Bombyx mori: one gene and its partner. The protein of the gene in region 1 interacts with the protein of each later gene in a pairwise test. Links are inferred from orthologs where the notes say so. Each region holds a gene or a part of one and is shown on either strand. Other genes may lie near its edges.

What was found.
Region 2: the proteins of ralA-binding protein 1 (region 1) and ras-related protein Ral-a interact in a two-hybrid assay, tested with the Drosophila melanogaster proteins (6 studies listed by BioGRID). The link is inferred for Bombyx mori from reciprocal best matches to the Drosophila melanogaster genes Rlip and Rala.

Annotation. Positions count from the first base shown.
Region 1 is NC_085113.1:5,979,162-5,996,639, reverse strand, and holds the end of ralA-binding protein 1, read left to right. Parts: intron 1-49; exon of another isoform or gene 50-1,695; intron 1,696-3,624; coding exon 3,625-3,734; intron 3,735-4,966; coding exon 4,967-5,118; intron 5,119-6,158; coding exon 6,159-6,339; intron 6,340-7,549; coding exon 7,550-7,674; intron 7,675-8,874; coding exon 8,875-9,058; intron 9,059-9,423; coding exon 9,424-10,155; 3' UTR 10,156-10,248; downstream 10,249-17,478. UniProt on the Drosophila melanogaster protein: Participates in receptor endocytosis during interphase, is also involved in mitotic processes when endocytosis is switched off.
Region 2 is NC_085114.1:15,870,149-15,887,626, forward strand, and holds the end of ras-related protein Ral-a, read left to right. Parts: exon of another isoform or gene 1-88; coding exon of another isoform or gene 89-205; exon of another isoform or gene 206-4,875; intron 4,876-7,731; coding exon 7,732-7,848; 3' UTR 7,849-8,139; downstream 8,140-17,478. Other genes in the region: GATOR2 complex protein WDR24, read right to left, coding at 9,118-9,246, 10,248-10,403, 11,368-11,470, 11,546-11,718, 12,384-12,520, 12,584-12,742, 16,141-16,274, 16,357-16,460 and 2 more.

The DNA of each region.
Region 1 (17,478 bases):
TATTTATAAGTTTAAAGCTTACAATATAGTTTATACTTCATGTACTTACCGAAAGTAAGATACTCCGGCCGTTAAATTGCTTTTTCGGGCCTTATTTTTGCAACTTTTGAATACACACTGCGGTATTGTGAGACGGGTTGAAATTGGCTGTGTTTGAAGTGAACTAAACAAAATAAGAGCTCACATTTCAAGTGCGCTGTTATTTGACGAGACGGATTTTATGCACCGACCCGAAATCTAGTTACTATTGTTGATCGAAGTTTGTAATAAAGAAATTGCGTTTTTTTTTTAATAGTTATTTCAATCTATTCCTGTTCATTTCTATATATCTCTTAAATAATATGTGTTCTCACTGCTGAAGTGAAAAGTTATGTGTGCTACACGAGAGCAAAGTTTTTTGCATCTCGTCCTGTTGAATCTCTCACTACGCTTAGGATTCTAATTTTGAATCACTCGCTATGCTCGTGAATCAGTCATAGAATCCTTCGCTTGCTCGGGACTCAAAATCAGTGTGCTTAGCGCGAGTTTTTTAAAGTTCTCGATAGCGTAAAGGTTAGCCCAATTTTTTATGCAGTTGGAACAGCGCTCCTAGCGGCAAACGTAGGCAAACTATGGAATGGGTCCATACAAATATGAGTTAACTTTTACGCTATCGAGAACGTTAAAAAACTCGCACTAAGCATTCTGCACTCGAAACAAAAAACAACTTTGCTCTCTTGTTGCATAAATAACTATTTCAAAACGGAGCAGTTCCAATAAAAAAACCTTTGTAAATTATGTTTAAACGTACCATTGTAGGTTCCATTATGAGAAGTCGTTTCACGGTAACGCGATTCGAAACGTTTACAGTCGTTCAATGTACGCAATTCGTAACGCCTGCACGAATGGTGTTGCGATTATACTTTTGCTGAGAACACTAAATATTAATCTATCGTAATAAAATATGTTGGCTTGTTTGGTTAAAATATTGTATCAAGTGAGATCGGTAATTTTAATGGCAATGATTATTTCTAATCGTTATACCAATTTCTGCTGGTTTTTTGGGTGGAAATTTGCACGGGTAGGTACCGCCATCTTGCCTATTTCTGACATATGCGTGGCACTAATCTAAAGACTTGGACCGCATAAATCGGCATAGAACATGTCACATTGAGTTATTAGCCACGCAAATAGATATCTATTTTAGTTTTTTATGATTACTAATGAAACAAATATCATAACAAAATCAATAATACTAGAATGTTCTATTGAGTGTAAACAAGAATCTTTTTGAAAAAAATATATTTTTATTACTCTTTTTTGGACGTCAATCAGGGTAAAAAATACAAAAATACTTTGTCTTATCGGATGTCGGAAAAATTTTGAAGCATGTTTTTCCTCGTCTACTCCATGTTTCACTAATGACCTATCGTTAGTTCGTGCTTATGTTTGAGAACAATGAATATTCGTAAAAAAATTGTTTTCGTTTTTATTGCTTAGATAGATGGACGAGCTCACAGCCCACCGGGTGTTAAGTAGTTATTGGAGCCCATAGACATCAACAACGTAAATGCCGCCACCCATCTTTGAGATATGAGTTCTAAGGTCTCGGTATAGTTACAACGGCTGCTGCACCCTTCAAACGGAAACGCATTACTGCTTCACGGCAGAAATAGGCAGGGTGGTGGTTTTTTTTTTCGGCATTATTGAAATTAACTATGAACTTTAGTAGTCAATATCAATGATTTATTTCGAACATTATGACTTGATTCATTTTTATTTTCCCATACAAAATTATGACCGAATGGAGATAAAAATAACTAAGTGCGAACTTATTTCATATACACATGCTCTCTATTCAATTTTAGAAAAATGGCGTTTATTAAAAAGCATATTTTTTATTGTGTTTATTAAATTAATTAATCAATTTTGCACCATCACGATTTGGCATGCTGAAGCCGCAGTTTGCAAGTCTTTAGTACAACGAAAATTTATAATATATCATATACATATAAATATATAATATCACCTTCACACTACACCTACCAAGCTTCATCTCTGCACTCCCCTAAGGTGGACTGTTAGAGAATGCCTATGGCATTAAGTCCGCCTTTATACTTTCTAGTGTAAGAAGTTATAAATAAAATAAAATTTTGCATAAAAACGTGCAATTTTTCAAACTAACACTTACAAAGTCAAACATGAGAGTGAGAGAAAAACTATTATACATACCAAAAAACGTTTCATACAACTCTGATAATGTATTATCTGTGCAAATAATTTGAGGGCGTGTACGATAACGCAGAATAAAATTTAAATTGTTCCATAGTGTTTAGTAAACGCTGTAACCTTTTTTTTTTTTTTTATTTAGTTAGTCTATTTTGCTTTCGCGTTCAGTAATGACGATGTTTCGTTTTATTATTTTGTTTTATTAACATTACCGTCGAAACAATGAATCCTTTTGCCAACGGATTTTTATTAGACGGTAAGCGTAACATTTCTATGTATTATTACTACTATGTATACTACTTCTGTGTATACTAGCTACTCTTAGTGAGCTTAATGAATTGATAAGATTATTTAGTTCGTACACTATATTATCTGATATCGATCGACATAATTGAGTATTTTGTTTTAGGTATTATTAAAAATTATCATAAATTTAGTTCATTCGCCGATGTAAAGTTATTTAACTATTTCTGCTGAGATGTTTTGGGATATATGAAAGAAAACATTTTAATTTACTTGAATAACATATGTTTTTCTTTCTGTTTTTGTTTTTAATGGTTTTACGACGAGCTTAGTACGACAAATGTTGTACGAATTAATTCTTGTTTAGTCAACATTTCAGCCAGCTTATGTTATGTTGTATAATAAGTAAAATACATAAAGAATATTAAGATGCACAAATTCGGAGATAAAAGTTTTCCATTCTTATCGTAAAAGTAGTTTATTTACACAAAGTTACATAGATTGTTTTACCTTGGAAATAATAGGTATCCTATAATTGCGCTTTTATTAGCTTGACTTGTTTTTTTTTTATTGCCCTTGTAGGCAGACGAGCATACGGCCCACCCGATGGTGAGTGGTTACCGTCGCCTGTGGACTTCAGCAATGTGCCAGGGGCAGAGCCAAGCCGCTGCCTACCGCTTAATACTCTCCACAAGCCTCGTTTGAAGAAGGACATGTCATAGCGCTCGGGAAACACCGTGGAGGGGAGCTCATTCCATAGCCGGATGGTACGTGGCAAAAAAGACCTCTGGTAACGCACTGTGGATGACCGCAGTGGCTCCAGGTAGTATGGATGAACTCTACTCCGGTGGCGGGCGGTGCGATGGTAAAAACGAGATGCCGGTATCATCTCGAACAACTCCGCAGAGCACTCCCCATGGAACATACGGTACAAAATACAGAGGGAACCGAAGTTCCTCCGCAGACCCAGAGGTTCCAAACGATCCGTGAGGATGGGGTATTTTGTCTATGCAACGGAAACTTTCAACGTAATTTTGGTTACTGGAGCCCATAGACATCAACAACGTAAATGCGCCACCCACCTTGAGATATAAGTTCTAAGGTCTCAAGTATAGTTACAACGGCTGCTCGTCCACCCATATAAGCAAAAAAAAGTCGTCATTTTTTTTTCAGTTGCGCTCCCTATATTCGGTGTACCACTGCAACAGTCTGTGGAGCGCTCTCGTTGCCATGACGACACCGGTCTACCGCTGGTCGTCCGAGACAGCATCGATTACTTACAGGTATACCTAATATGTATACGCTTCGTGAATCCAACGTCCAATAAAACAATCTTATCGTAGTTACAAATCACGACGATTGCTACTAAAAATGTTTTTAATAGTTTTTTTTAAATGTATTATGTGATGGTGTTCTATTGTATAGTCAACTTTCTAAATCTTTGATAAATAATTTTGCACTCATAATTTACACTAGACGATGACCGTATTTTTTTTTTTTTGATAAATTGTATTTTTTTAGAAATTGTATTTAAACACGAATTACATATTGATAAAATAATGAAATATTCCAAGAACGTTTAGGCATTTTTAAGTGACCACGTGAGTTAAAAAGACACAAATAATATAAATGAACAATTCATTTTCTTGGTCTAACCTTAAACCAAACACTCATTGGCTTCGGGTGACTTAACAACGCTATCTGCTGAAATAGCTTTAGTGTTATTGTGTCTTTAAAGCAGTTAGTTTCTCTCAATTAAGAAAAATAGTATTATTATTCGCCAATAGACATCAGGAAGAGTCATAAAGTTGATTATCGATAAAGTTGATTATTGAAAACACGAATAAAACAACATTTTCTAAAAATAAATCGTAGCTAGATCGATTTATCGCCCCCGAAATCCCCTGTATACTAAATGTTATGAAAATCGTTGAAGCCGTTTCCGAGATTCAGATTATATAGAATACAAGAATTGCTCGTTTAAAGGTATAAGATACGCTTCGTGAATTCAACGTATAATAAAACAATCTTATCGTAGTTACAAATCATGATGGTTGCTATTAAAAATGTTTTTAATATATGATGGTGTTCTATTATATATAGTCTACTTTCTAAATCTGTAATGAATAATTCTGCACTCATAATTTATATAAGGAAGAGAAATATTTGGGCCAAATAAGATGCTTATAAACGACATTCGAAATTTCCTCTAAAATGTTAGCAACATCGTCAGGTTTGAGCCCCATGTGTTCACCTACCAGCCCGGTGACGCTGTTATGATCTCTCTAGACCATCAGCTTAGGTAGATAAAAAAAAAGATAGTTAATATATGATATGGTTCGCACTTTGAATTATAAGGAAAGAAAAAATACTGACGACTACATCTTCTTTTTCGGAACTTGAAAATGTCGTTAGCGCATTTCAGGATTTTGGCGGATTATCTATTCTCTAGCTCTAGCTACGACTACATGTTAAATAGGATTAAATCATCAAAAATATGATATTTATATTCTAGGCACACGGATTAAAATCGAAAGATATATACCGGACCGAACCGGATAAGATAAAGTTTCAACAACTGAGGAAACTGTTCACGGATCGAGGGCCTACATTCCCGTATCACTGGGACGTTCCTGTCGCTTGCGCTATGCTCAAAGCTTTCATCAGGTAATGAACCCTAATACTTTTTAATATTCCAACTGGCAAACGTCTGTTCAAACTATGATAGTCTCGTCTGTCACCTCGAAATGGTATCGTGAAACTCGGCATGTCTCTCAACATGACTTGGCACTTGGCATATATGGTACTACCTATCGGCAGAGTATTCGATAACAATATACTCTATTTATTAATTGCCTGAACGCTACAATAAACGGAAACAATAGACGTCTTACTGTGAATGGCGCCACCCACTTTAAGGAGGTTAAGGTCTCTATTGAATTGAATAACAGCTCGACTATTAAGCAGACTTTTTGGCGGAAACGCGAAGAGCGAAGTTGTGTGAATTGTTTTATTTTGTCTATTTAGTGTATCTTCAGGTTTAAATGTGTAATAACGGTGGTTTTTTAACTGTTTAATATTTGTGAAAGGACGTAGCTTCTCGGGATCCTCCCAAAACTCGACTGGAAAAGTCTCAGTAAATAATCACCATTTTACTGAGATTATATTTCATCCCATATCATATCATCTCATCTCATTTCATTTAATTTCATCTGAGGTGATTAATTTGGGTTTCCATCGTTTTTTAGTATTCAAAACTGTAAATAATTAAAACGGCGAATTATAAAAAACTTATTACTTGATGCCGGCTAATGCACAAACCGTGCCGGAGCCAAATTGTAAAGAAGAAGAAAACTATTTAGTAGCCAAGATAAGCACGATAATAGTAACGCCCATGCGGAAGCCTCCCTATACGCCCCACTACTACCAATCTCTTAATTATAATATCAAAATTAATAAATTATCTAAATGTCTTTACACAATTCATTTATTAAAATAATAAAAACGTCACGTAAATAATTATGACTGTGCTAAGATTCGTAGAAACATGACAAATTCGTTGCGATCTCAATAATTGTTCACATATAATTAGTATAATAGTTATAGGTAATTAAAATCTGACGCTATTTCGTCACAAATAAAAGTTTGACTGTTTATCAATGTAACGATTTAATGTACGATTATATATACGAATCTCCACATCGCAGTGAACTCCCGGAATCGATACTAACACAAGAGCTGCACGGTCAGTTCGAACAAGCCACCGCTATAGCCGAACCTCAGCGAGAAGCGACGATGACGAACCTCATCAATAAGCTGCCGAACTGTAACCACAATCTGCTGGCTTGGCTGATGAGACATTTCCAACACGTTGTCTCCAATGAGCAGGTTTGTTACTTTTTTTCCTTTTTCTTAGATCATTGGACGATCTCACAGCCCACCTGATGTTTAGTGGTTACCGGAGCCCATAGACATCTATAACGTAAATGCGCCATCCACATTGAGATAAGTTCTAAGGTCTCAGTATAGTTACAACGGCTGTCCCACCCTTCAAACCGAAACGCATTACTGCTTCACGGCAGAAATAGGCAGGGTGGTGGTACCTACCCATGCGGACTCACAAGAGGTCCTACCACCAGTAATTACGCATATTATTATTTTTTTACTCTACTTGCATTTGGCACTTTTGTTCTTCTAACTAACCGATAAAGTCGGATCGGATACGATATTTCCAAATTTGTTTTTTCCTTTTTTTGTATGTTCTGTTGTAAATTAGCCATGTAAATATTAATTCGTATCTTTTGGGTTTGTGGCGATATAACAGCCTTACCTTGAGGCATTGGTATGGTAGTGCATACATTTCTACATTATAGAGCGATAAGGTCAGATCTCTCTCAGATCTTATTCAAACATATTTTCCATAGGAATTCGTCTTTACTTGGAATCTCAACTTTGGCTATAGTTTGTGAATCAGTCGTTCAAAGAATCTGTATAATATAAAAGAAAATAAATCAGCTAGTTAGTATTTTCTTTTGTCTGTTAGCTATTAAGTATTATCAATAAAAAGTTATAGAAAAAGAGAAAATGTGATACTTAAAAGTGAATCTTAATTTTGAAATTCGACCATAATAAGTGATTATTATGGTCGAATTTCAATCATTAGTCATCCAAAAAAGTATTTTACGGCTATAGATGAACAAACAAGCTTACGGTCCAACTGATTTAATCTATGTCAAGATAAAAAATGTAGGGTGTCAAAAAACCATACCATTTAGCGAAAAGGAAATAGACCACTACCCCTACAATCAATAAAAAAAATATTAATTTCACAATCTAACCAAATGTATAGTTTTAGTATACGTCATTACGGCATTTTATTCCTTAAAGACCTCGAATGGTCCTTACCAGTGATTGTAAATACATACAGTTAGATAACATAACAAGATTCAATGCTATCGGTAGGCAACAGATTGGCTTTGCCCCTGCTATTGCTGGAGTCCATGGGCGACGGTAACCATTGTACCAGATGGGCCATGTGTACTTCTGCCTTCAAGGACAATAAAAAAAAATCCAAATATAATAAATTTAATATTCACAGGTGAATCAAGCGAACATACAAACGATAATGGCAGCTATGGGAGCGGCTTTGAATATGTCACTCAATCTGCTGACTTACCTCGTAACGAAATCGGAAAAACTGTTCCCTAACGTCCGACTCACGAAGTAAGTTATTAAACTGTAATCTATATACTAATATATAAATCTACTGTGGTTTTTACGAATGTTCCGTTATAACTACTGAACCGTGCATCCGATTGACTTGAAACTTGGTATCCATGTAGAAAATACATGTACTTAATGGATAGGCTAATGTTTATATGAGTGTTGGACTCCCTAATGATAATGACAATAAATAATAATGTTAATTTTAAATGCCTAGCGAAGCGGGCGAGTACGGCTAGTGTATTTATAAAAATAAAAAAAACGTTTGTCTCTTGGCTTTATCCTGCCATTCAGCTTAGGACAGATGGCGCGCGATTAATGTCAATAAATTGATGTTTCGGTCTCCAATAAATATTTCGCGATACGAAACACAATCGCCTCGCTGTTCTCAGAGGCTAGGAGCCCATAGACATCTACAACGTAAATGCTGCCACCCACCTTGAGATATGAGTTCTAAGATCGTCTTTTCGCATAAAAAGTGTACAATTTCCAAAATTATTCGAAATTGAGTTAATATGCGGAATCATTTGGTGTCACCAGTATTTTTCTCATAAATACTGTCAAAAGAGCGTAGTTTCGTTTTTTTTTTGTTTACCTTTATTTTGGCTACTATTGACAAAATTAATACATAATTTTATCTTACTTTAAAAGACAGATAATGTAATTGGAAAAAATATAAAAAATAAATGTTGCAAATATGTTTAATATTAAAAATATCACATGTTAAACCTTTAAAACATTCTCCTGTAAAATTAGTAAGTTTTGAGATTCTTCTTTTTCTCCACCCTATCCCACTAGGTGTGGTCGGCACAGCTAATTTTTCTCTTCCATTCTCTTCTATAAGCCGTCATCTCAACACTCACTCCTCTCTCTCTCTCTCATATCGTCATTCACACACTCCATCCATGTCTTCTTCGGTCGACCTCTTCCCCTCTACCTTGCACTACCATTTCCATACATCTACTAGTCACATGCATCTTCTCTCTACGCATCACATGTTCATACCACGCAAACCGTCCGCTCCCTAATTTGTTGCTTACCGGGGCCACTTTCACACTTCCTCTGATATACTCGTTCTTTATTCTTTATTTTGAGATTATACAGTTTTAATGCGAGAAGACGATGGTATTCGTACACTGTGGAAGTCAATCGTGTTCACATTAGTTAAGTACGTATTTCATTTCGTTGTATTCGTGACAGATACGTGCCGCCTCTCCACTCGCTGCCGGCCGACTTCCCCGACTCCGCCGCCGAGATGAGCGCGGAGCTGCGGAAACAAGAATCTCTTCTCAGTCAGATCCACGCGGAGATGCACGCCGGCTTCATAACGGCCGCCAGAGATCAACAACTATGGGAGGCGCAGCGAATTGTAACACAACTCAAGGTAATGTTAGAACCCGTAGTACGTCTAATGAATACGCCTCAAGAGTTATTTGAATTCACACTCGTTTTTTATTTATTTATTGCTTAGATGGGTGGACGAGCTCACAGCCCACCTGGTGTTAAATGGTTACTGGAGCCCATAGACATCTACAACGTATATGCGCCACCCACCTTGGGATATAAGTTCTAAGGTCTCCGTATAGTTACCACGGCTGCCCCACCCTTCAAGCCGAAATGCATTACTGCTTCACGGCAGTAACAGACGGGGACAGAATAGACTCACAAGAACTCTTACCACCAGTAAAATTTGAATTTTATAGAATGATTGACTAATAGTTATTATCGATCATTGATGTTTCGTTACAGCGTAAACTTCGTTCGGTACAAAAGTCAACGGAGCCTAACGCGGTGCCCACGCAGCAATCATCCGTAGACGAGAAGCAACCGGACGAGGAGACTACGCGAGTGTGCTCGCAGCCGACCGAAGCCGAGAAGCCGGTCCGCGAAGTCGAAAGGCCAGGCCGCGAAGTCGAGAGGCCAGTCCGCGAAGTCGAGAGGCCAGTCCGCGAAGTCGAGAGGCCAGTCCGCGAAGTCGAGAGGCCAATCGACGCGTTCGAGCCCAAGGAATCGCCGCTCGACCAAGACGCGACCTTCGAGGCGGAATTCGAAGACAACTTCGACTTCAAGCCGGACAAAAAAACGACCACAGATGAGACACAAGCTACGGAACCCGTCCAAGATAAACCGAAACTCACCGAGAAAGAACTCAAAGTGCTGCGTCTCGAATTAGAGAACGCTGAATACCTGCAACTGAAGTCGTTGTTGCAAGCGAAGATCAATTCGGAACAATTCGAGATTGTCAAGCTGAGGAGCTACGTCGCTCTGAAGAACAAACAGGAATGCAACCTACAGAATAACAAAGATGCCAAAGAAAACTCCAGCGTCGACGAGCAAGAGTTAAAACAGAGGCTGATGAAAGAAAACGCTTTGCTCGAGCAGAAAAGACTGAATTTGATCAACCAGATCTTTCAAGAGAGGGTCGCGTGCATCCAGCTGAAGATAGAGCTCGCGATGAAAGAGATTCTGTCTAAATCATAAAATCTTCGAGTCTCGAACTAGTTTTAAGTTTATTTATGCACTTCTATTCCATGTAACAAATGTAAATTAGTAATAAAACCAGTTATGAACTAATTCTTTGTTTATCTGACGAAGGCAAAACGTGGACTAGCTCCGTTTTTTTTTTTTTTTTTGAATTGAACATATCAAAAAAATATTGAGGGAGTCCATATTGTATATAATTAACACCACAGTTGACACAATAGGAGTTCTAAGTTATACACATTATTATTTTTTTGTCCGTTTAAATTTTCGGCGGTAAAAAGGTCCAGACTATCTTCTTTTTTCCCCTCTCGTGCGTTCCGACTTACGCATCATAAAAAGGTGCGTTCTTAAACGCCATAATATGTTAGCAAAATCGGATCGCAGCAAAAATATAAAATCTTTCAGAAATTATTAAGTGTCAAACTTAGTTGCGTAATAATTATCCGAACAAAATGTACATTCATGACATCACCGATAGATAGATAGAGGGCGTAGGCGAATGATAAGTGTTGATTAAAAAGAATCGGTTTTATTAATTCCTATATTATTTTACAACCTGTTTTTATTTGATTGTCTATTTACAAATTGATTCATTTTTAAACGCTGTTACGTAGTAAATAACGTACATTATTAAATATATACATAATATAATCAGACTGCGGTGTCGTCAATCGTCCGTGACCCCGAAAACTAAAGTATTCGAAATGTCGGAAATAAGATAATGACAATAAAATCGCGAATTAAATCTTAAACGTGGTTGTAATTATGTCTATGACTCGCGTATACCACACAAACGATTTAAAAAAAAAAAAACAAAAGATTTTTTTTTATCGCTTAGATGTGTAGACGAGCTCACGGTCTGGTGTTAAGTGGTTTCCGTAGTCCATAGACATTAACAAAGTAAATTATAACGCTCACCTTGAGCTCACCAAAATCTTAATTTTTACAGTACCTACAACGGCTACTCCATCCTTTAAACCAAAACGCATTACTGCTTCACGGCAGAAATAGGCGGATGGTGGTACCTCCCAGTACGGACTAAAAACACGTCCTACCACCAGAAAATCATGAACAATTTCTTTTTAAACAGCTCCTAATACGTACGGGTCTCAAACTGAACTTTACGTAATCAAAACGATAACACCAGAACTGCTTTTTTTTTCTATCTAAGCTGGTAGCATTGAGAGACTATGCCAGCGTAATCTAACCAGTAGGTGAGCTCACGGGACTCAAGCCTGAGGTGCTCAAACTGAAAATCTATTTTGCATAACACTCTTGGCCCAACGAACACAGAAGTAAAATTTATTTTCAAGGCTACGAAATTATTACAAAGATTAGAATTTAATCAATTATAAATTTAATGTTTATCGACAATTCGATACGTAATGATTGACAACCGGGAAGTCCTTGTTGTTAGTATTTATTGTTCTACAAACACAATGAAAGTGCTGCATCATTTTTATTGAGTTTGATTTATTTCGACATTTTTCGGTTGTTACCCCTAAATCTCTTCAATTCTCACTATAAATTTAATAACCTATAATATGTGTTATCTATGACTTTTTACTGGTGGCAGTGATTAATAATGGCTGGCAAGTAGGTATCGCCATCTTGTTCAATTTTGTCGCCATGACAATATAATTCGAATTCAAAATTATATCTATACATATAAATAAAATTGAAGTGTCTGTTTGTAATATTGAAATAACCATTTTTCACTACATGCATATGAATATATATACGGTACATACACTAAAACTGTCTGTCTGTCTGTCTGTCTGTTTGTTCCGCCTAATCTCTGAAACGGCTGGACCGATTTTGACGAGACCTTCACTAATAGGTAGCTGATGATTCAAGGAGTAACTTATGCTACTTTTTTTAGACTAGCTTCGCCCCGCGGCTTCACCGGCAGTACGACAATAAACGCGGATAACATCGCGGGGTTCATCTAGTAATTTAATAAAAACTTCACATATATATTTTTTTTAATATACCTATCTGTCAAGCAATGCAACTATGCTATTGTTTGAAATCTGCAAGAAGAAAACAATGTTTCTCAATAAATACGCTGGTAACGTCTGTTAACGACCGAACACAATGAACCGATATTGTGTAATAAAAATGAAATTCGCAAAATTTAAAAGTAAATTTGCGTAATTACATATGCTTGTTCGTATTGTGAGTGCGCAAGAACACGGGTACCAACATCCCGCGTTTATTGCCGCTTTCAAGGCGACACTGGATTTGTTTATCGCTTTATTTCTTCTCTAATAATACTCACCACACAATTACTGTGTTATATTTCTAATATTAGCTGTATATCATTGTGAGGACACCGGTTCAAGGAAAATACTATTAATTTTACATGATAACGAAATCCACATGTGTTGTAGGTACCAACCGCAATATAGTTATTATTTTAATTAAAAAATAATTGTACTTACTTTTTAATCGCGCCTTTATTAATTCGATTAATTTTTAGCGTAAAAAGTACGTGTTACACTTTTTGTATGGCATGTAAAATCCTTTTTTTATTTTTTTTTTATTTTTTTTTTATTTGTGGTCATAGGTTAACAAAGATTAATAGATTAATATTAATAAATATATCATAATGTCCTGCTAGTAAAGCTTACCATACTTATGGTCACTATCGACACAGCCTTGATTAAATATTGGTAATCCGTGCAAAACGTCGTTGCGATTTTTATTAACGACTTTTAATATACCTAGTTGATATAAGCTTTAATAAAGTGAAATAAACTGAATTTATGCGCAAACCCGGATCTAGTAAACACCGTAATGTGAATTTATCCACGTACATTAATAAATTAAGTCGAATTCACAATTCAGTTGTTTTGGAAGAGCAGTTAAGCCACTCAACGGACCAAAACGTGAAATTCCCCAACATACTAGCAATGCGCAGCTAAGCCACTGCCTACCCTTGAGAAATCCTTCGAAAGGATCGGCTGGAAGAGGACATTTCTTAGCGATCAGAAAATAACGCGGAGAGAGAGATTATTCTTTCTTGTACACAAAAAAAGGAGTTCATTTCTGATCCAGTCGGTACGTGGAAAGCATGATCATAAGAACCCGTAGATAGTAAGCAATTCTGTTGCGGGCGCAAGTGATGCGACGGTTTTAAGAAAAAATGAGGTTATTTGGAAGAATTTGTTAGGCTAGTTAGGAAAAAAAATAATCTCTTTTTATTTTCTTCTTACTACTACGGATCGATGAACTTCAAGAAGGTCACAGCATTACATTTCTAAAATTCTGAAGCCTCACAAACGTACCGAGGAACATGGCATTTGCTTCATTTCATTTTTGACATTTCTGTTTCACGTTAATTAGAGGGCTGTAAACTGCTGGATGAAATAAAAGTGAGGTTAATCATTGTAAGTAATTATTTACATCATGTCTATTGTTTTCCTTTTGTAGCCCGTGTAGGCACTAGTAGGCAGACCAGCACCTGATGGTGAGTGGTTACCATCTCTCATGCGTCCATGAGCGATGTCAGAGGCAGCGTCTTTAAGCCCTTACCTACCGTTGTTGTACCTATGTTTTCTAAACCTGGTCAATTTAGATTTTGTCATTTATTACTACATAAACAGAAGACTAAATAGGTTGTAAATATGTAATTGAACCGTAATTATTTATAGTCGTCCATAAGGAAATCGGTAGTGTTATTCGAAAACGAGTTCTACCTTTATTTACGCCACGAAGCGTGAATTATAAAATGAGTTTCAAGAAAATTAACGTTACCATTTCGCTGTACTATTTTTAGTGTGTAGCTTGAGTCATATTCCACAAATAAAACTAAATAGAGCAACGATTCAATGAAAATAAAACGGTCCACTCGATAAAAGTCGTGATAACAGAGATCGTTATTTTATAATAATAAAGAAGTAATCTATTTACGTGGTTCTTGCTAATATACAATGTAAATTGAATATTATAGGTAAGTTTCGAAGTGTTTCACAAGTGTGAGACCGTGGCAATGTTTATTTTAATCACATATAATCACAGGTAAATCTAAGATGTCTAATTAAAAAGTTGGGTTCACTTAACAGAACAAAGCGGTACTTCACGCATGGACAACGACTTATGCTTTATAAAGCACAGGTTTGACCATCGTTTCCAAGTACTGTACGGTACTTTTTACTGGTGGTAGGACCTCTTGTGAGTCCGCGCGGGTGGGTACCACCACCCTGCCTATTTCTGCCGTGAAGCAGTAATGCGTTTCGGTTTGAAGGGTGGGGCAGCCGTTGTAACTATACTTGAGACCTTAGAACTTGTATCTCAAGGTGGGTGGCGCATTTACGTTGTGGATGTCTATGGGCTCCAGTAACCACTTAACACCAGGTGGGCTGTGAGCTCGTCCACCCATCTAAGCAATAAAAAAAAAAAAAAAAAAAAAAAATACTTCCTTTTGACTCCATTTGGAAAAGATGACGAAGACATTAATCTGCCAAAGAAATCTTCAATGGCATGTAGTCGCCATCACTGCTCTCGATTGGGCTTTTACAACTATCAAAACGAATTGTGACAATACTGAGACTTTAGAACTATATCTCAAGGTGTGTGGCGCATTTACGTTGTAGATGTCTATGGGCTCCAGTAACCACTTAACACCAGGTGGGCTGTGAGCTCGTCCACACATCTAAGCAATAAAAAAAAAAAAAAAAAAAAAAAGAACTGCACAATTCTTAGACAACTCCTCTGTCAATAACCGAAAGCCATTATTATTAACAAGCATTTTAATAATGCCACTATATCACTACGGTCTCTCTATTTCAAGGTCTGCGTCTAGCGTCTGCGACAGCCTGCGAATGTAAATTACGAAAAATCTTATAAAATATATACATAGTTATATTTTTAAAACGTATTATTAACTAGTGATTTTTTCCCCTACCTAATCGTTAGTAGCCTTAGGGGCTATTCCAGCGACGCTCGGACGGTTAGGTGAGCTCACAGTTTCAACCTGAGATAATTTCTAACACTAACCCTAGCAAGAGTGCTTCGCTGAATCTACCACCGGATCGAAATAGCGACCCGCCGAGAAGATGCGGCGAGAAACTTAATGGGTACACATAGCTTCCATTCGTTTTTCCCTGGACGAGACTAGAAATAGTATTGTACTTTGGGGTTGAGAAAGGCGTGAGCTCGATAATTACAATCCCCGAGTTAAGTTAACATCTGTGCGCTTAGAGCGAGTTTTTTAACATTCTCGATATCGTAAAAGTTAACTCAAACTTGTATGGCGTTGGAACGTTTGCCTACGTTTTCCGCTAGAGGCGCTGTTCCAACTGCATACAAATTTGAGTTAACTTTTACGCTATCGAGAACGTTAATGAGCTCGCACTAAGCACACTGAATACCCTCACATCGCTTACAGAAAGGTTAACGTACTTCGAGACTCGCTACTCGTGATAATCTTGGTAAACTATGATCTTTCAACCTCTTTATAAATGTTAATTTATATAAATTTGAATTATCTCTTGTGTTCGATAAAGAACCGGCATCCGTGATAACGACTGATGCTGTAGACAATGGTAGCGAGTTAAATCCATTTAAATCGCTATGCAAGCGCGCAACGATCTCTGCAACTGCCTCAGACGCGTAATTATCAGTCATTCGTTAACGTCACAAAGGACTTTGTTCAGGTTCACTGGTTATATTTGAGTCGTCTATTATCAAAGGTGGCAATCTGTGCATTTGGATAAAAAAATGTTATTGATATGTCAATAAAGATTGTGTTGAATATAATCGTCTCCTTCTAAGAATACGGTTCAAAACCTGCATTAAATAAAGTATTAACTTAACCTGTTATTTATCTAAGATGTCGTTCAGAAGAGTTTCGTGACTGCCAATGGAATACAAAGTCAATAATTCGTTTTTCTGATTTACCAATAATTGTCCAAAAGTCACATTGCCGGCTTTGATAATAGTCGACTCATTTAGTATACAATATTTTTTAATGTCATTTCTTTCTTCTTTGTGAATCATTAAAAGTAATTGTTTATTTGTATTATCGCGGTCGAGTCGATGTTTCATTGTTAGAATCTTGCAGGTCAAAGTTATGAAATCGACATATTATGAAATCATTACATAGCTTGATATATTTTATAAATTAACTAGCCGTACTCGCCCGCTTCGCTGGGCATTTAAAATTAATATCATTATTTATTGTCATTATTATTAGGGAGACCAACACTCATATAAATATTAGCTTATCCATTAAGTACCTACATGTATTTTCTACATGGATACCAAGTTTCAAGTCAATCGGATGCACGGTTCAGTAGGTAATAATAACGGAACATCCGTAAAAAAACACTGTAGATTTATATATTAGTATAGATATAGATTCTAATGTAAGTGAATAATAAACAATTCTAGACTTTAAGTCAGACCATAGTACTAGTAGAGAACGAATGAGAACTAGCCGCTTCGGTACATTAATCAAAACGTAAGCAATAGACATGGAATGGCTTCTGTTTCACCATTATCATGATCAGCTCATGTGTTAAAAACGATTCACATTCAACAACCCAAGAACGTAATATCAAATTTTCTCTTATAGTTACCGGAAATACGTATGCCACAAGAATATATAATATGTATGTACACCTGAATCCCAAATGTTAACAACAAAGATTGCGGCCAAAACAAACCTAGACCAGTACAGCAGTGTCAAATATCAAGCTAGAAAATAGCCAAGACTCGACTCAAATAGTCAATCAGATCCTTTGCATTTGAATTTCCCATACCTATATACACCCCAATTCACGAACAGGAAAGCATTTGTATCTCAAAATACTGCAGTAAAGTTGTCATTGCTATATAGATTGACGTTACATAACCAACTAATTATGTCATCATTTACTTATATCTGATATTTCATATCGCACTGTACTGATACGCTTCTTAGGAAACGCTTTTATTAGTGCAACAGGTAATCTACAAATAAAACTCTGGACAAAAAAAAAACATACTGCAATATGTTTCTTATAAATCGCAAAACATCGTGGGAAATGTCAGTTGTTCTATTCATTCACAGAGATATGTACACTTATTATTATGTATTCAACCAACAACAAATGTCTGCAAGCTACGATCTCTACATTTTTTGTTTTCCAGAATTGACAGATAAAACGTCGAGTCATGTCATATCTGATATTAGTTTGAAGTTTTAAAGATAGTGCGATATCTAAGCTGTAAATATAAGCCATAGACGAGGTTTTTATTTAAAAAAATCTGTTTCAAAATATAAATAAACAGAAGTAACCGGTATGCCCAATTACCTGCATGTAGCGAACGTAA
Region 2 (17,478 bases), on another chromosome or scaffold:
GCCATTCTTGATTTCCTTGTGAACAAAATGATATGGTCCTGGTGGCGGGTGTGTGTTGTCTCGTGTGCTGACGGTGGTGTCCGCGCAGGTGTTCTTCGACCTGATGAGGGAGATCCGCTCGCGGAAGTCTGACGACAGCCGCGCGACCAACGGCGAGGGAGGGAAGGGGAAAAAGAGCAAGAAATTCAAATGTGTCATATTGTAGACTTCCTTGATGTATGATGGGCTTAATGATAGACGATTTTGTGACTTGCGGACGTAAGAATAACGATCAACTTCGGCCTCCCTGGGCGCTGATTAAAATCTATGCGTATCTTTCTTATATAACATGTTTCGATAATAATTGTATTAACGATATAATCAACTGCTCATCAATATTCTAGCCCTTTGGTTAAAGCGAAATACAAATCATTTAATTTTGATTATTTAACAATATTATTATTGTTATTACTATAAAGAAGTAGTAGGGATTAACGCTAATTTATTCTTAAAAATAAATAATCCTTAATCGACCGTGCTCCGTGAAAAAAAACGGAAGTTCTAGAAGTTTGTTAAAGTCACAAATTCGACTTTCACGAAATTGGAACGTCCGGGTCTGTACGCGCTTGTGCCAGGCTCGTGTTGCCGCTTCACTACACGCGTTCAGTTTTGTTTCTCATCATTTTGAGGCTTTCCTGTAAATCTATACTTAATATTATAAAGCTGAAGAGTTTGTTTGTTTGAACGCGCTAATCTCCGTCCGATTTGAAAAATTATTTCAGTGTTTGATAGCCCATTTATTGAGGAAGGCTATAGGACAGCGGTCGGGGAACCGGGGTAAATTACCCCAAATGGGGTAAAATTAAATTTTGGTTGTAAAAATGAAACTTTTGTGAGTAAAAAGTATATAGGTATTGCAGTAAAACTTCTTTAGAATCGTTAAATTTTTAGTGATTATTTTCTTTTCAAAATTATCATGGGACTATAATATGAAAAATACTAAAAAGAAGCGATTTCGTTTTTTTGGTTCTTCGCCATGGGGTAATATCAACTTACACAAAACTATTTTGGGGTAATAATTAAAAAAGTTCCCCGACCGCTGCTATAGGCTATATAACATCACGATAAGACCAATACAAGTGGAACACCAATAAATGTTTCAAAATTGAGGTTTAAATAGCTTCTTAACATTCTATAATTAAAAAATATTTTCACTTTCTACGTAAATAAAGTGGGGAGTAAAATGTAGCGTTATGCCAAAGTGACTATTCCACGCGGACGGAGTCGCGGGCAAAAGCTAGTCCTTACATACATACATACAAATCATACACCCGTGACAAGTATTCACTGTACATTAGACAAAACACGGAGCTTAGGCTGTATTCCCGGGAATACTGCGTATACAGAATGATTAAAATAGCAGAATTACTAGTTGCAATCGATTGAGAAAAATGAAAATGCCCTATTTAAATATGTTTTTTGTAATATGGTATTTTTTGGTTTAAATACTTTTATTTCATTCCGTATTGCGAGGTATACCTGTCACCCACAGGTAGGGTGACCGCGACAAGTGCCCAGCTAGAAATGTTATTCTATAGATACATTAAAAGAAAAGTTGCCTTAAAAGAAAATTATTTATCACTTATCATATTTCTTGTAAATGTCTAATTCATTTTTAATCGGGTACTTAATAACACAATCCGTAATCTATATGAGATCGAAACTAAATTATTATCTGTAATATCTTATCAATCGCGACGATGTAATGTATCATATCGTCCAGATCTTGTTTGGACGGTATTGTTGTAAATGGCAATGACGTCCGTCGATATAAAGCAGTTGAGTGATGCCTACGTCTAAACAATGTATCGAGGCGTGAAAGTTGAAACGCTATTTGGTTTAAGCGACATTTTTGCAACTTTACAGGAGAGACATTTAAACTTTAAAATTTGGTTAAAATATAAAAAAAAAATTCAGCTATTTAAATGGGGTAAACTCAATTGAAGATCAATTAAAAACATCGACTTGTTGATCTATACATATAGATAAAATTGGAGTGTTTGTTTGTAATACTGAAATAACCGCTTTTACTATATGCATATGAATATATATCCGGTACATACACCAAAATAATACTTTTTACAATTTTTGACTGTTTGTCTGTTTGTTTGTTTGTTCCTGTTAATCCCTGTAACGGCTGGACCGATTTTAACGAGACTTTCACTGATAGGTAGCTGGTGGTATTAGGAGTACTTTGGCTACTTTTTTTTAGACTAGCTTCGCCCCGCGGCGTCACCCGCGGTACGACAATAACCGCTGGTAATATCACGGAACTCAGCTATAATAATAAAATGTAATGTTTCCGAAGCGAAGCGAGGGCGGGTCGCAGGTAACAAATAAAACGGACCTTTAATTAATTACGAAGATAAATGTCGTGTATTAAGGGAAATGTCGCTTAAACCAAATATTCTTTCACACTTCGATATGTAAGTAGTTCTGACAGTCTGTTGCCAGTGTATTTACATTGTCAATGACACGGTTGCGTCTGAATTGTTATCCGGTCTGTCCTCGACAATAGGCTCCGCCGATCAAAGACTTGTAAGCTAATGGAATAGGACGGGAAAAGTAAGAAAGGAAACTGAACACGTGTTTTGAGGTTAGAATGTTGTCTGTATATGCAAGAAGTGTAGGTGTAACAATGTCCGGTGTGTGCGGTGCTGCCGTTTTGTTGAATACTCACGCATCATGATGGCGTCTTAAGTGAATTATGAAAAGTGGCACCTTTTGGAACTTTGTTATTTGAATATGTTAAAAACTGGCTTTTTTATACGATCCCATACTCCCAATGCCGTACACTTTATTGCGGTGTATATTTGTTTTTACCCTAAAGTTAGGGTATCTCTGCATTATCTTTAAAATAAAAGGATGAAGATGCCATTCGATCAGTAAGTATTCGACAAGACGTTTTTGTTTTTTTATTTTCTATTAAATATTCTTGTTAAAGTCTAAGCTTGTGCTTGCATGTTTTGTATCGATTAAAATAAATCGATTTTTCGTGTTATTTATTTCGGAAACTCAAAAATTCTTAATTAGTATTAAGATTATTTAATTTGTTTGCTGAAAACAATAAATGTACCTATGTAAGCACTATTATTATCAGTACGTCTTCTAGTGTCTACAATCTTACTTTAAGTTCTAGTTTTATTAAGTTAAAGATTAAACGTTAAAAGTGATTGGGCTTGCAGACATTTTATTAGTATAGACATTTTTTAGTATTCGCGTGTGACGTCACTGTCCCCTCGGATCCGACACTGCTCACCCCGGCGTGGGGTCCGGGGGCGGGCCAGCGGGGGGCGCGGCCGTGTACTAAATAATGTGAAATTCCTGCAAGCGTAATCATAATTTTGAATTTCAGCACATTCGAAAATAAATGTTTAAACGTCGTTTTTTTATCGAATTTTATTATATAACTTACAGGAACAAAGTCACAATAAATTATAATAATTATCATTAAAACATCATTTGAATGTGTTAAGCTCTCGTGCTGACCTCACCGCGCGTGCTCTAAAGCGGTTGTCCCGAAAACTGGCACGATTGTCAAATTGAGGGCCTATATTTAGTGATTTTGCTACGTCGATCGATGTTTTCAAAAGCATCAATTTTAGAATGTTGCTAGCTAATTGCGAATGTCAATGAAATTATGAGTACATACTACGTAGTCTTTTTGATTAGTCAAAAGTGAAATGAATTCTGTTTTGTACGTATGTTGAATAGAAGTGAGGAAGCACCATCTCAGTGTATTAACTAGTGTTCGCTGAAAGGAAGCCAATGAAGGTGGCGCCACTGTAGCAAGTGGAACGATTTTAAAAACAGCGCCATCACACTTCAATTCCACCCAGCACACTTGAATCTTTTTAAAACTGCGATATTCATATCTTTTCCATTTCCTACACTAGCACTATTTAGTTCAGTCTTCCAACAATAATTTGCTGTTTACAGATGTACACTTTTACAAGTTGTCCCCTATACAAGATGGCGCTTCTAACTTCTACCCTCCAATATTTGTACTGATAGTAACTTTTACTGAGAGTAATAATAATTGAAATATGATGTTGAGGTGTGTCCGTTCAAAAAGTTACATCAAGTTCAAGATGAAAAAGTGATTTAGTAGAAATATTGTCGACAAGTCAACATTCTGTACAAAAAAATAACAGATGCTTCATTTAAATAAAAATAAAATACTGATTTTTTTGTCGAAGGGAGGTTTGTTTTATGGGATATAAATGAATAAATGATGAGACAGAGTAGTTCATGTTCAGAGAGGTGGCCGATTGAACGGACACTCTTCCATTAACTGGTCGAATGTGAGACGCCAACTGTCCACGGACTTCATAGAGCATGACACTCTGTGACGTCACTGGAGCATTTCATTTAGATCTCGAATGTTCCTGGATCCTGTTTGTTTATTGTAATGCATTGCGGTATATGTATTCATGTAGCATTTCAAACGTCGTATGGCAGAAACCGTGGGCCACACTGTACATCCCACAACTGCCAAATTTCCGTTTTCGGAAGGTTTTCGTGGGTCGATCTTGCATTTCTCATGAGTTCGGATACATTAAAGCTATAAATCATACGTATTACATTAGCTGCATTAAGTCTGATAGTCCTCTTACGCTAGCGGTGTTCACAGGTGCTCACGGTTCGCTGTTACTGACATATTATATGTGTTTAAGTTAATGTCAGTGGAGACGGCCGCGTCCAAATCGGCGCTCCTCTGCGAGACAAACTCATATTTTTTATATTCACATGCATATGTTTAAGTGTATGTATAACTCTCACCGAGATTGATATAAACGATATTATATGCAAGGAAATATAAGGATTTGCAATATATGTGTTGTTTCTCTGTGCATTTAGCGTTTATTTAATGTATAAGGATTGATGTTTTGTGAATGAAATTTGAAAAGTTAATGTCAATTAATAATTAAACTTAAAATGACGAAACTGATGAGACAGTGTAATCACATTTTAAACATTATAAACACAAACAGGAAGCGTTAACTACTTCGATTTTGGATTTCCAAAAAAAGTGATGACAAATTGTACCATAATTGTAAATGAATTGACATAGGGATGAATAGTGGTTTCCCTTGTATTGCTAGAGAGTGAGCGAGAGAGAAAGAGAGAGAAACGATGTTTTCGAACAGATGTCTCATCCCATCACAGTTCCTATCTATATAGTATATTAAAGGCATACCGTAATACAAAAACAACCTGAGTGACAACGTGCTTAGTTTTCATGACGATTGGCTACGTACGCAAACTTTAGTGTTCGAAGCCACAACAATTAATTGAGAAATGGATAACACAACGCAAAATTTGGACCATAAAAATTGCTTAAACAATCTTGCAACAAAAAAAACATTGATATAATCCGGTATTTCATAAGAGTTTCTTTGTTATTTGTTACTTGGGGCTTAAACAAATAAATTTAAAATTTATATAAAAAGGTGACTGTTGCATGTTGTCTGTTTGCCTTTGGTCTAAATAAGTGTGGGATAATTTGGTATCACTATTGGTAAGTACTGCCTGCGTTTTTGCCTATTTTTGTTCGAAAACGTTCTACTTTTTTCAATGTGCTTATGCTTTTTGGCGTGACATGGTTTTATAGCAAAAATTTTTAAACATGTTTGTTGATTATTAGATTCTGTGAAGACCCAAGATTTATATGATTACATTGCCCATGGTAAAGAGATCCTCCACTCCTCTTTATCGGCGGATACACCATGAGCTATACTCTGTTCAATGAGGACATTGATTATACTTTTAAATGTTATTTTATCTAAAAAACATTTTGAAAGGCAAAGTGCTCGATAGTTTACCCTTAAAACGTTTTGTGTTAATTAATCCCTTGTCCTCCATTCGTCGCCTCTATGTACAATCCGCAGGTTCCGTCTCCAGTCAGGTTATATAATGTAAGAATTCTCAGGTATCGAAATGCCCGTGAGAAACTCAAGTATAGGTCTGTAGTAATTTCACACAAAATCCTTGGTATACCTTAACCCGAGACGTTGCCCATTCCGTCCTGAATTAAGTTTTTGACTAGACCCTCAGTGGCCGGGAATATCGTCATTGAAGTCTCCTACACGGTTCAGACCGGATTATTTTACCGAAGCCTCTGAGGAATTGTTCGAGATGATAACGGCATCTCGTTTTTACCCTCGCACCGCCCGCCACCGGAGTAGAGTTCATCCATACTACCTGGAGCCACTGCGGTCATCCACAGTACGTTTCCAGAGATCTTTTTTGCCACGTACCATCTGGCTTTGGCATAAACTTACCTCCACGGTGTTTCCCGAGCGCTATAACATGTCCTTCTTCAAACGAGGCTTGTGGAGAGTATTAAGCGGTAGGCAGCGGCTTGGCTCTGCCCCTGGCATTGCTGAAGTCCATGGGCGACGGTAACCACTCACCATCAAGTGGGCGGTGTGCTCGTCTGCCTACAAGGGCAATAAAAGAAAAAAAATTTTGATACCTATCTCGATTCTCATCCGCATGCGGCTACCCCGACGGTAAGCAATCACCGTTACTGACCTACTGCCAAAATAGTGTTAACAGCATTAATTTAAAGTGTTCCGTCATTAACATAGTTGAAATAAATTGATTTTGAACATTTTTTTAATTAACTAGGTGTTGTAGAATAAAATTGTCAAGAAGACATTTAACTAAAGTAGATTAGATGACGCGTGACAATCGAATGCAGTCCTATTATAACGTCCGTCTGGTGTAGTGGTAAGTGACATGGTCACTACACTAGGGGGTCGCGGGTTCGAATCCCGCCAAGGGAAGATATTTGTATGATAAATATAAATGTCTTTTCCAGGGTTATGGATGTATATTAAATATATGTATGTGTATAATAAAAATCTTACATTTATTTCCGATATCTGGTACCTGTAACACAAGTTCTTTACGAACTTATCACGGGACCAGTTAACGTGGCGTGATTGTTAGTAAAATATTTATATTTATTTATTATTTATTTATTTATTGATATTTAAGTCAGGTTCTTTTTAAGTTTAGAGTTTAAAGAGTAAGTCTATTATTATATTTATTTGGATGAAAATACATTTTTGTCAAGACTTTACTGCTAGTCCAATTGTTGTGCGGGGGTTGCTTAAAATTAAAATGTCTTTTAAGAACTAAGGTCACGTATTGTGTCGACCCACTTAACTAAGTCCCACAGGCACTTCAGCGCTAATATGCAGTCATTTATCAACTAAGCCACCGGTGTCCTGAGGATGGTTGCCGTGAGGACGTACGACCGTTTCATTATTATATTTCCCTACAATGTCGGCTGATGCATATTGGCCCAGACTAGTCATTATTTCAGTTCTTCTGCTGAACCGATTCCAGTACCGCCAGTTTTGGTACATTACCTGTAGACATTGTACCTATAGAACTTGTACAGACATACCTTTTGTTGTCTGCTGCTACTGAGCATTTATATACAGTACAGTCGACGTTACAACCTTCCGGTGAAAAGGCTTTTCTCAATCTAGAGTGTAAAATTAGACACGTTTCGCTGTGTTCTTCTCGAGCTGTATACATGAGCGTTACGCCCTGTAGCTAAGTTTAGCTTATCTGCTTGTTTATGGTTGTCAACAAAGAGTTTCTAATGTAAATTAACTGCATGTAATTCGATTATAACCTGACCGGTCCGACAACTGACTCGCCATTACTTGACAGGCGTTCCTGACCCTTATCCGACAGATGTCACGAGTGAAGAGGGGTCTCGCAGCCGAGGAGGACCCCGCCCCCGACGACGCAGGTAGATGCAAACCGTCGTGCTGTTCTATATCTTAGTTTAACTTATAAAGGAAGTAATTTCCAGCCACTGCGCAGACGTCACGACTCGCCTCCCGCGGCCCGCCCGGGGTCGGCCGGGGGAGGCGAGTGGCGGGGTCTGTGGAGGCCGGTACTAAGTCACCGAGCACCTCCACTACTAACGTTAACTGTCCGACCTCCCATAAATCTGAACAGCCTAACACTATGACCGCCGATGAAGATATCACTGTGGTCAGCTTGTTGTCAATGATACACTCAAAATACAGTTTGTAAATAAGAATACTTATTAAATAAAACCATGATTACATACGTTGCGTTGTTTTCTTTATTATTTGTTCACAAAATATATTCAATACAAAAACATAGCATCTGTACAATCTGTAAATATATTAATAAATTCCCATAAAATTTAAAATGTAATTTTATTTAGCGCGAGTTGATCGAGTGTTGTCTACATTAATATAATAATGAGCAGCGGCGCGACACTAGAAGCTATTTCAGTATGCAATATAATATTGTATTATTGTAAGTTATATCAGTGGGGCGGCCACCCAAAATAGTAATTTAAAATGGAAGCCTTAAGTTAGATAACTTTAGTCTGTTTAAACAAGGGATGGCTGTACTGCATACACTACAGACAAAAAATCACATGTAGTTAGCAGTAATTACGTGCGTACTGTAATAATTGTACTGATACAACTGAGACTGAAGAACTCTTGTCTCAATTTCGGTAGTGCTCATTTTTTGTTATTGAAGTCTATGGGCTCCGGTAACCACTTAAAACCAGGGGGGCCGTGAGCTCGTCTTGAAAGAGGAGGTCGCAGGGGGAGGGTGTATGTCTCAGCGTGCACGTCATCGCCCGCTTAGAGTAACGCACCTGGTGTTAAGTGGTTACTGGAGCCCATAGACATCTACAACGTATATGCGCCATCCACCAAGTTCTAAGGTCTCAAGTATAGTTACAACGGCTGTATCGCCCTTACCTACCCGCGCGGACTCACAAGAGGTCTCGCGCCCAGTGAGATCGCACACATGTATACAAATGTAGACGAGGACTAGTTTAGGTTGCTGGTCTCAATAGATTGGTTACATTTAACGAACACATATTTTTAAGATTTTATTCTAACAGAAACTATGCTTAAATGTAAATAAAAAATATTACAAAAGAGTATTTACTTTACACAAAATAAATCTCTTATCAAAATGTTCTTTTTATAAAAGATGTATAACTAAGATATACAATGATGGAAGAAACTTTGTAGAGTAACATTTTCTGTAAGGAGTACTTCAGCCTAGTTGACAGTGATGTCCGCAGCCGGCGGGACAGAGCTGGTGCTTCTCCATCCACTGGCGCATGTGCTCCAAGTGGCCGCCGTGCGAGCAGCCCTGGCACCACGCGTACAGCCCGCGCACCACCTGCCGCACCACGGGGGCCGAATTACAGTTAGAGTAGAGGGGCTCGAGTCGGGGGGACAGTGTTACCTGTCAGCACGGGGCTCGAGTCGGGGGGACAGTGTTACCTGTCAGCACGGGGCTCGAGTCGGGGGGACAGTGTTACCTGTCAGCACGGGGCTCGAGTCGGGGGACAGTGTTACCTGTCAGCACGGGGCTCGAGTCGGGGGGACAGTGTTACCTGTCAGCACGGGGCTCGAGTCGGGGGGACAGTGTTACCTGTCAGCACGGGGCTCGAGTCGGGGGACAGTGTTACCTGTCAGCACGGGGCTCGAGTCGGGGGACAGTGTTACCTGTCAGCACGGGGCTCGAGTCGGGGAACAGTGTTACCTGTCAGCACGGGGCTCGAGTCGGGGGGACAGTGTTACCTGTCAGCACGGGGCTCGAGTCGGGGGACAGTGTTACCTGTCAGCACGGGGCTCGAGTCGGGGGACAGTGTTACCTGTCAGCACGGGGCTCGAGTCGGGGGACAGTGTTACCTTTCAGCACGGGGCTCGAGTCGGGGGGACAGTGTTACCTGTCAGCACGGGGCTCGAGTCGGGGGACAGTGTTACCTGTCAGCACGGGGCTCGAGTCGGGGGACAGTGTTACCTGTCAGCACGGGGCTCGAGTCGGGGGGACAGTGTTACCTGTCAGCACGGGGCTCGAGTCGGGGGACAGTGTTACCTGTCAGCACGGGGCTCGAGTCGGGGAACAGTGTTACCTGTCAGCACGGGGCTCGAGTCGGGGGGACAGTGTTACCTGTCAGCACGGGGCTCGAGTCGGGGGACAGTGTTACCTGTCAGCACGGGGCTCGAGTCGGGGGACAGTGTTACCTGTCAGCACGGGGCTCGAGTCGGGGGACAGTGTTACCTGTCAGCACGGGGCTCGAGTCGAGGGGACAGTGTTACCTGTCAGCACGGGGCTCGAGTCGGGGGACAGTGTTACCTGTCAGCACGGGGCTCGAGTCGGGGGGACAGTGTTACCTGTCGGCACACGGCGCACAGGTCGGGGTGGGGCAGGCAGCGGTCGCACATGGCCCGGGGCCGCGCGCGCCGGCCGCAGCGCCCGCAGCACACCGTGACGCTGCTGGACTGCTGGGACAACGACCACACGCTGCTCAGCCAGGCGCACCGCACCACCTGCAATGTCGTATCACTTGGACAGCTGTCCTGGACTCTCGAGATACGAGACTAGGTAGTGTTACGCAACATCACTATTTCCAGTAACTACACAAAGATCATAAATCGTACGATGAACAGTTGGCACCCCCGCAGTGTCGCTGTTGGGTGCGGACGTATAACGGATTTAACACATGTTATTAATCATTTCAAATTTTTGTAGTCTTTTGTAAGACACAATTATTAATTTATGTTTTAAGCTTTACTTTAACGACTCGGTCGAGAAGCCGAATGGGAAAGCTAAATATATCGCCTGTTTATTATTAGAGTTGTATAGTATATACTTAGTCTTGCCATAAATACTGTTACAATTAAAAATAAAAAAAAATCTATTGCAAATAACATTTATTACTTTTACAGTGTGTTAGTTTAATACATAAATATAAAACAATTTAAAGTTTAAAAATCTTATTCGAAGTGGTCTCCATTGGCTGCAATACAGTCCTTTAAACGTTGAGGCCAGTTATCAATAGAAGCACGCACTCTTTCCATGGAAAAAATTTTCACTGCCAATCGTACGGATTGTTTTAGGGACTCCAAATTATCATGGCGTTTAGAGCAAGCCGTACTCTCTAAAACTGACCATAAATCATAATCCAGCGAATTAAGATCAGGACTAGACGACGGCCAGTCTTCAGCTCTGATGAAGTCCGAAACGTTCATTTCATTCAACATTTTACTAATACCAAGCGTATGGAGAGTTTTAAAAATTGCATTTGGCTCCATACCTACTTTGTGTAATGCAATCACAGCGATTCGGTTCTCTTTGTCACCCCACTCCATTTTAATATCGCAAAATATTGTACAATGTATTGGCGCCAAAATGAGAAAACTCAATGTAATATGTATATTCAAATGTAATATTTTGTTTATTTTTAATTGTAACAGTATTTATGGCCAGACTAAGTAATACATTGAGTGGTACCTCAGTGGCGACATTCCACAGTTTGTGTTTCTGTAAGAACTCGATGTAGCCCAGCAGCCAGTGCTCCTGCAGACCCTCGTCTATGTACGGGAACAAGTCGCTCCTGCAACAGAGTCCACTATCATCGCACCAGGTCTACCGGAGCAGGTAGTGCAGTAGTGCGGCGGCGCGGCGGTACCTGTGCTCGTGCAGCACGATCATGACGAGCGCGGCGGTCTGCACGTCGCCGAGGTCGGCGTGGTGGCGCAGCGCCAGCGCCAGCAGCGGCGCCGGCTCCACGTGGGGGCGCAGCGCCTCGTGCACCACCCACAGGGGACCAGACTCTCCCTCCTCCGGCTGTGCGCGACACAACTGTGCAATGTTATTAACACTTTGACCTCGTCGACCTCAGGACGCAAGGTGGTCCGTCTACGTGGAGTTGAACGATTAACTTGCTAATCTTTTTTTTTTTTTTATTGCTTAGATGGTTGGACGAGCCCACAGCCTGGTGTTAAGTGGTTACTGGAGCCCATAAACATCTACAATGTAAATGCGCCACCCACTTTGAGATATAAGTTCTAAGGTCTCAAGTATAGTTACAACAGCTGCCCCACCCTTCAAACCGAAACGCATTACTGCTTCACGGCAGAAATAGGCAGGGTAGTGGTACCTACCCGTGCGGACTCACAAGAGGTCCTACCACCAGTAAAATTGGCATTGTCAATATATAGAATATAGACATGAAAAATATCTACCTACAAACCTTAAAAAATAAAAAGTAGACCTAATTTAAAGACAGATTGATTTTTCCATCATAACCGTCGGGGTCGCCGATGAGCACGCGAGGTCATTGTCCCTATGTGTCATCTAATTTTTTTTAAATGACTTCATATTAATTAGCGTAATTCTAAACTCTTCATTAAAATAGATTTTGCTATTGATCACGATGGTAATGTTATCATGTGAATAGTATTCGGTAGTACGACCACTCCTATTTCGTATCAGATAGTTGTAGGCGGCTACCGCCCGCAGCTCACCGTGGCGGCGCCGGGGTACGCGCTGGAGGTCTGCTCCAAGTTCGGTGGAGCGGTGCACGCCGAGCCGTTGGAGCCGCTCGAGCCGCTCCCCGGTGACGAGCTGCCTCCGGGGGACGCCCCGCCCGCAGCCGTGCGACCTTCAACCACGAACAACTTGTAGAGAAAGTGACGTCACACGTGTGTGTGTGTGCGCGACCTACCGTGCGTCGTGTCGAGTATGGAGGGCTGGTGGGCCGGCGGAGGGGCGCGCAGAGGGAAGGCCTCCTCAGGGAGGGTCCAGTCGGCCGTCTCCACATCCACGTAGTGCGCGCTGGCCGCCGACACCCAGCCCGACCCCTCTGGACCACATGCACCAGTTGCTACAGTTCAGTTAAATCAAGTGTGAAGAATAGTTTCATCCAGCCAACAATCAGACGTGTATACTGGGACACTACCTGGACAGTGTCGAAATAAAATCATAAGTATGGCGCGGATCACTCCTCAACTAATGTTTCTGTGTAACTTCAATGTGCGAGCGACTGCTTCGACAAAGGAATAACTTTATTGAAATTTCACCCATAAAGTAGGTATGTATATACCTAGTCAGGTCATAAGTATTGTCACACAGTAAAAACTTTTCTTTTAGAATGCTGGCCACAAAAAAGTTTATTGAATTCGAATTTCGAATTGTTCATGAAAATAAAAATGTATACTTTTAGAATTTTACTCATTTTTAAATATGGAGTGGACGCTTAAAGAAGACCGTGTTGCAGTTATTGCGTTGCATCGTTGCGGTTACGCGCCAATTCAAATTTTTAACATACTGAAAATTTTGAATATAACGATCAACATCAAACGATACAATCAAATCAAAATCAAATCAAATCAAAAAAATTTTATTCAACATAAATGAAAGTACATACTTGTTGAACGTCAAAAGAACTACTAATGAAGACTCTAGTGTAGATGACAGGTCAAGAAGTGGTCGCCCTCGGTCTGTTAGGACTCCAGCAGTGATAAAAGCTGTGAAGGCGCGAATTAAAAGAAATCCCAAACGTAAGCAGAAACTGTTGGCCCTTCAGATGGGGTTAAGCAGAACCACGGTGAAAAGGATGTTAAATGAAGACTTAGGGCTTCGGGCATATCGAAGAAAAACAGGACATCGTTTGAATGCTCGTCTAATGGACCTGAGACTGAAGAGATGCCGCGCTTTGTTGAAGCGGTATGCGGGAAAAAAATATCGGGAAATTCTTTTTTCGGATGAAATTTTTTTTACCGTAGAACAGAGCTACAACAAACAACATGATAAGGTGTACGCACACAGTAGTGAAGAAGCGAGCAACCGTATTCCGCGTGTCCAACGAGGTCATTTTCCATCCTCGCTCATGGTATGGTTGGGAGTTTCTTATTGGGGCTTAACAGAGGTACATTTTTGTGAGAAAGGTGTAAAAACGAATGCAGTTGTGTATCAAAATACAGTCCTGACGAACCTTGTGGAACCTGTTTCTCATACCATGTTCAATTACAGGCACTGGGTATTCCAACAAGATTCGGCGCCAGCTCATAGAGCGAAGAGCACACAAGACTGGCTGGCGGCGCGTGAAATCGACTTCATCCGGCACGAAGACTGGCCCTCCCCCAGTCCAGATTTGAATCCGTTAGATTACAAGATATGGCAACACTTGGAGGAAAAGGGCTACCTGTATGACTGTAGAAACAGATTCCCAAAAAATTGGGTCTAAAGTTGAATTTTTTGAATATATTAACAATTTATCTAACATAAATATTTATAAATTATATACAGATGGATCAAAATGTTCAGGTAGAGTAGCTTCAGCATATTATGATCCACAACTGAAGAAATCTAGATGCTTCAAGCTAGACAGTCACTGCAGTATTTTTACTGCTGAATGCTACGCTATCTATACAGCACTTTTGTATATTAATAATGTAAATAGTTCTGACTTTTTAATTTTAACTGATAGCAAAAGTTCATTGTTAGCACTAGAAAGTGATCTTTTTAGATTTAATATGAACTATATTATTTATAGAATAAAAGAAATATTGGCAAATTTAAACGAAAGAGGAAAGAATGTCCAATTTAAATGGGTACCTGCTCATTGTGGTATTTTTGGCAATGAAGCTGTAGACTGTGCAGTGCGAGGTGCATGTGACGAAGACCACACTAATGTAACAAAAGTACCGTATACTGACTTCCAGCAGAAAATATCGGAAAATGTTAAAACGCTGTGGTATGAACACTGGAGGTCTATAAGTCAAGAAAAAGGGAAATGGTATACAAAGATACAGAATACCCCGCCACATGTACCTTGGTATAACAAATTTAAAGAAGCTAATTCCAGACAATTCATTACCACCATTAATAGATTAAGATTCGGTCATTGTAGAATTCCTTCTCATTTGTTTAAACTACGTTTAGCAACGGACAAAAACTGTCAATTTTGTGTCAATGAGGTCGCTGATCTGAAACATATTGTTATGAAATGTCATAAATATAGTATAAATAGATTAATTTTAGTGTCTGAGCTGGACGATGTTTCTAAGGGTGACTCGCCTTTACAAACAGGCGTAAGGATGGACTTAGAAGAAATTTTATCAAACCCGTTGTATTTTAAACCAATTTATAGATATATTATTAACACAATAGGAAATGTTTAAAAACAAACGAGTAATGTTAATACTTCAATTTGATACTGTTTTGTTTAATAACTACTTGTAAATTTTTACGTACTCCATGCGTGAAAATTAATTTAAGATAGGCTATAAGGTCTTGTAACCATTGGCCGTAAATAAATTAAAAAAAAAAAAAAAAAAAAGGGCTACCTGGGCTCTAACATCAGCAACAATGGCTCTTGTGAACCGGAAATTCGCAGACGGATAGGGATGGCAAAAGGTGCCATGTCTCAGCTGGACAAAATATGGAAGGACAAAAATATCTCTATGAACACCAAGAGCAACCTAGTCCGCACACTAGTGTTTTCAATATTCATATACGGAGCAGAGACATGGACTATAAAGAAAGCTGACCGCAATCGGATTGATGCCTTCGAAATGTGGTGCTGGAGGAGGATGTTGGTATGGGATTCTTGAATACTTTGGCCACATCGCAAGGAAAGACAGTGACAACTTAGAGAAATTGATGGTCACTGGAAAGGTCGAGGGCAAGCGACTAAGAGGCAGGAACCCGACCCGTTGGACCGACCAGATTCGTGCAGCCCTGGATACCACAGTGCACGATGCTCTGCACTCAGCTGCAGATAGGAACAGATGGCGGTGCACTATAAAAAACAATCTGTTTCAAGGCCATGACCACGACCCTCAGTAATGAGGAAACCGACGCAAGGAGGAGGAGGAGGAAAAGGCGTGCTCAAAGCCTCATCCCAATTTGGAGTCACTCAAGACATCCTTGATTAAGGCAGCCGCCGATATTGACATGGACCTCGTTCGTGCTGCGATAGACGACTGGCCGCGCAGATTGAAGGCCTGTATTCAAAATCACGGAGGTCATTTTGAATAAACTTTGTTAAGTTCATTTTGGTATATGAATGGTTAAATAATGAATAAACTTGTTTCAATTATTTTACATTAAACATGTGACAGAATTTATGACCTGACTAGGTATGTAGGTACGTAAAGACCGGTGGCAAGCATTGGTTTGTTTTATTGGCTTCAAGAGGTCTCCCTGCACGGCCGGTCGCAGCGTGCAGGTGAGGCGATTTAATTGTCGTGACCAGCAGAAGCGGTCGCAGGCTAGTACCGTCGTGGCGTATCTTGTACTTGTGCGGCGGGATGTAGATGCTGAGCGTGGGCATGCCGAGCACCCCGCTGTTGTGGAACTGCGTCTCCGCCCACTGCTCCACTTCCTCTAAGGGCTCTTCTTCCACTGCATTACTGGACAAACATATTTAAACTCTTAAGCCAATACTTTGTACGAATGGTACCGCTCGCTCAGTGCAAGTGTCGGGCCGCGTACCTGTTGGTGTGTGCGGGCGGCGGGGGCGGAGGCTCGCGCTCTGGGGGCTCCCGGGGCGGCGGCCTGCCGTACACGCAGCGCACCACCTCCCACACGTGCCCCACCTGCAAGAGCCAGTCCCGCACGCGGTAACAGCGCCGCTAGTGTCGCCACAGTCCCGGGGAGTGGGTACGCACCATGTGCCGGTTGTAAGCTCTGGCGACCTTGGCGTTGTGCTCGGCGAGCTCGTGAGTGGGGAGGCCTCTCATCTTGTACTCCTTGGCGCAGGCCACCACGCAGCACGGTGGACGACCCTCGCCCGAGTACCTGGTGAGGATGGAGGCGGCGCCCCCGGGGAACAGGCGCTCCAGTGCGGCCTGAGCCTGCGGACGCAGCGAGCCTGCGGTCGGCTGCTTTCGGCTGAGGGGTTTAAATATATTCACCTCAATAACGTCTAATTAATGTGTACATTAATAGACAATAACAAAACAGTTTACAACATTGATACTTCTGTTTGTCAACAAACGTTCCCTTTTTTTGGCATAATAGCTGTTGACGGATTTTAGTATTAATTATCGCGGGATGTCCACACACAAATCGATTAAAAAAAAGTAAACGAATAGTGGTTCACGTTAGCGCCGTAGTGCCAGTTTAATGGCTTTTAAAGCCGAGAATGGTCAAACACCCTGTAAATGTGTAACGTGTCAATTGACATTGCCAACAGCCCGGACTGCGTTTACGTTAACTTAACTAAAATAAATAAAGTAAGTATATGAGGTGCGGTGCGGGGGTGCGTCATACCCGAGCCCAGGTACGTATCGGTCGGAGGCGGGGTTGGTGTGCAGCGCGGGCAGGGGGCAGTCGGGGGCGGCGTGCGTGACGTCACCGCGCGCGGACACGCACACGCCGTGCGGGTTGGCCCACAGCACGGGGTGCGCCGCCTCCGAGAAGCGGTGCCGGTACAGGCTGCAGTCCTGCAGGCACGTCACGTTCATGTCGTACCACAGATAATCCCCCCAAAAATTATAAATTATCCGTGTTTCATACGAACGCTCGATTAATATTACTGCTCAACGCCGATATTAGAAATGCCATCGGCGTATCTATTAAAGCGCAGTACTCGATGGAAAATCTACCTAATAT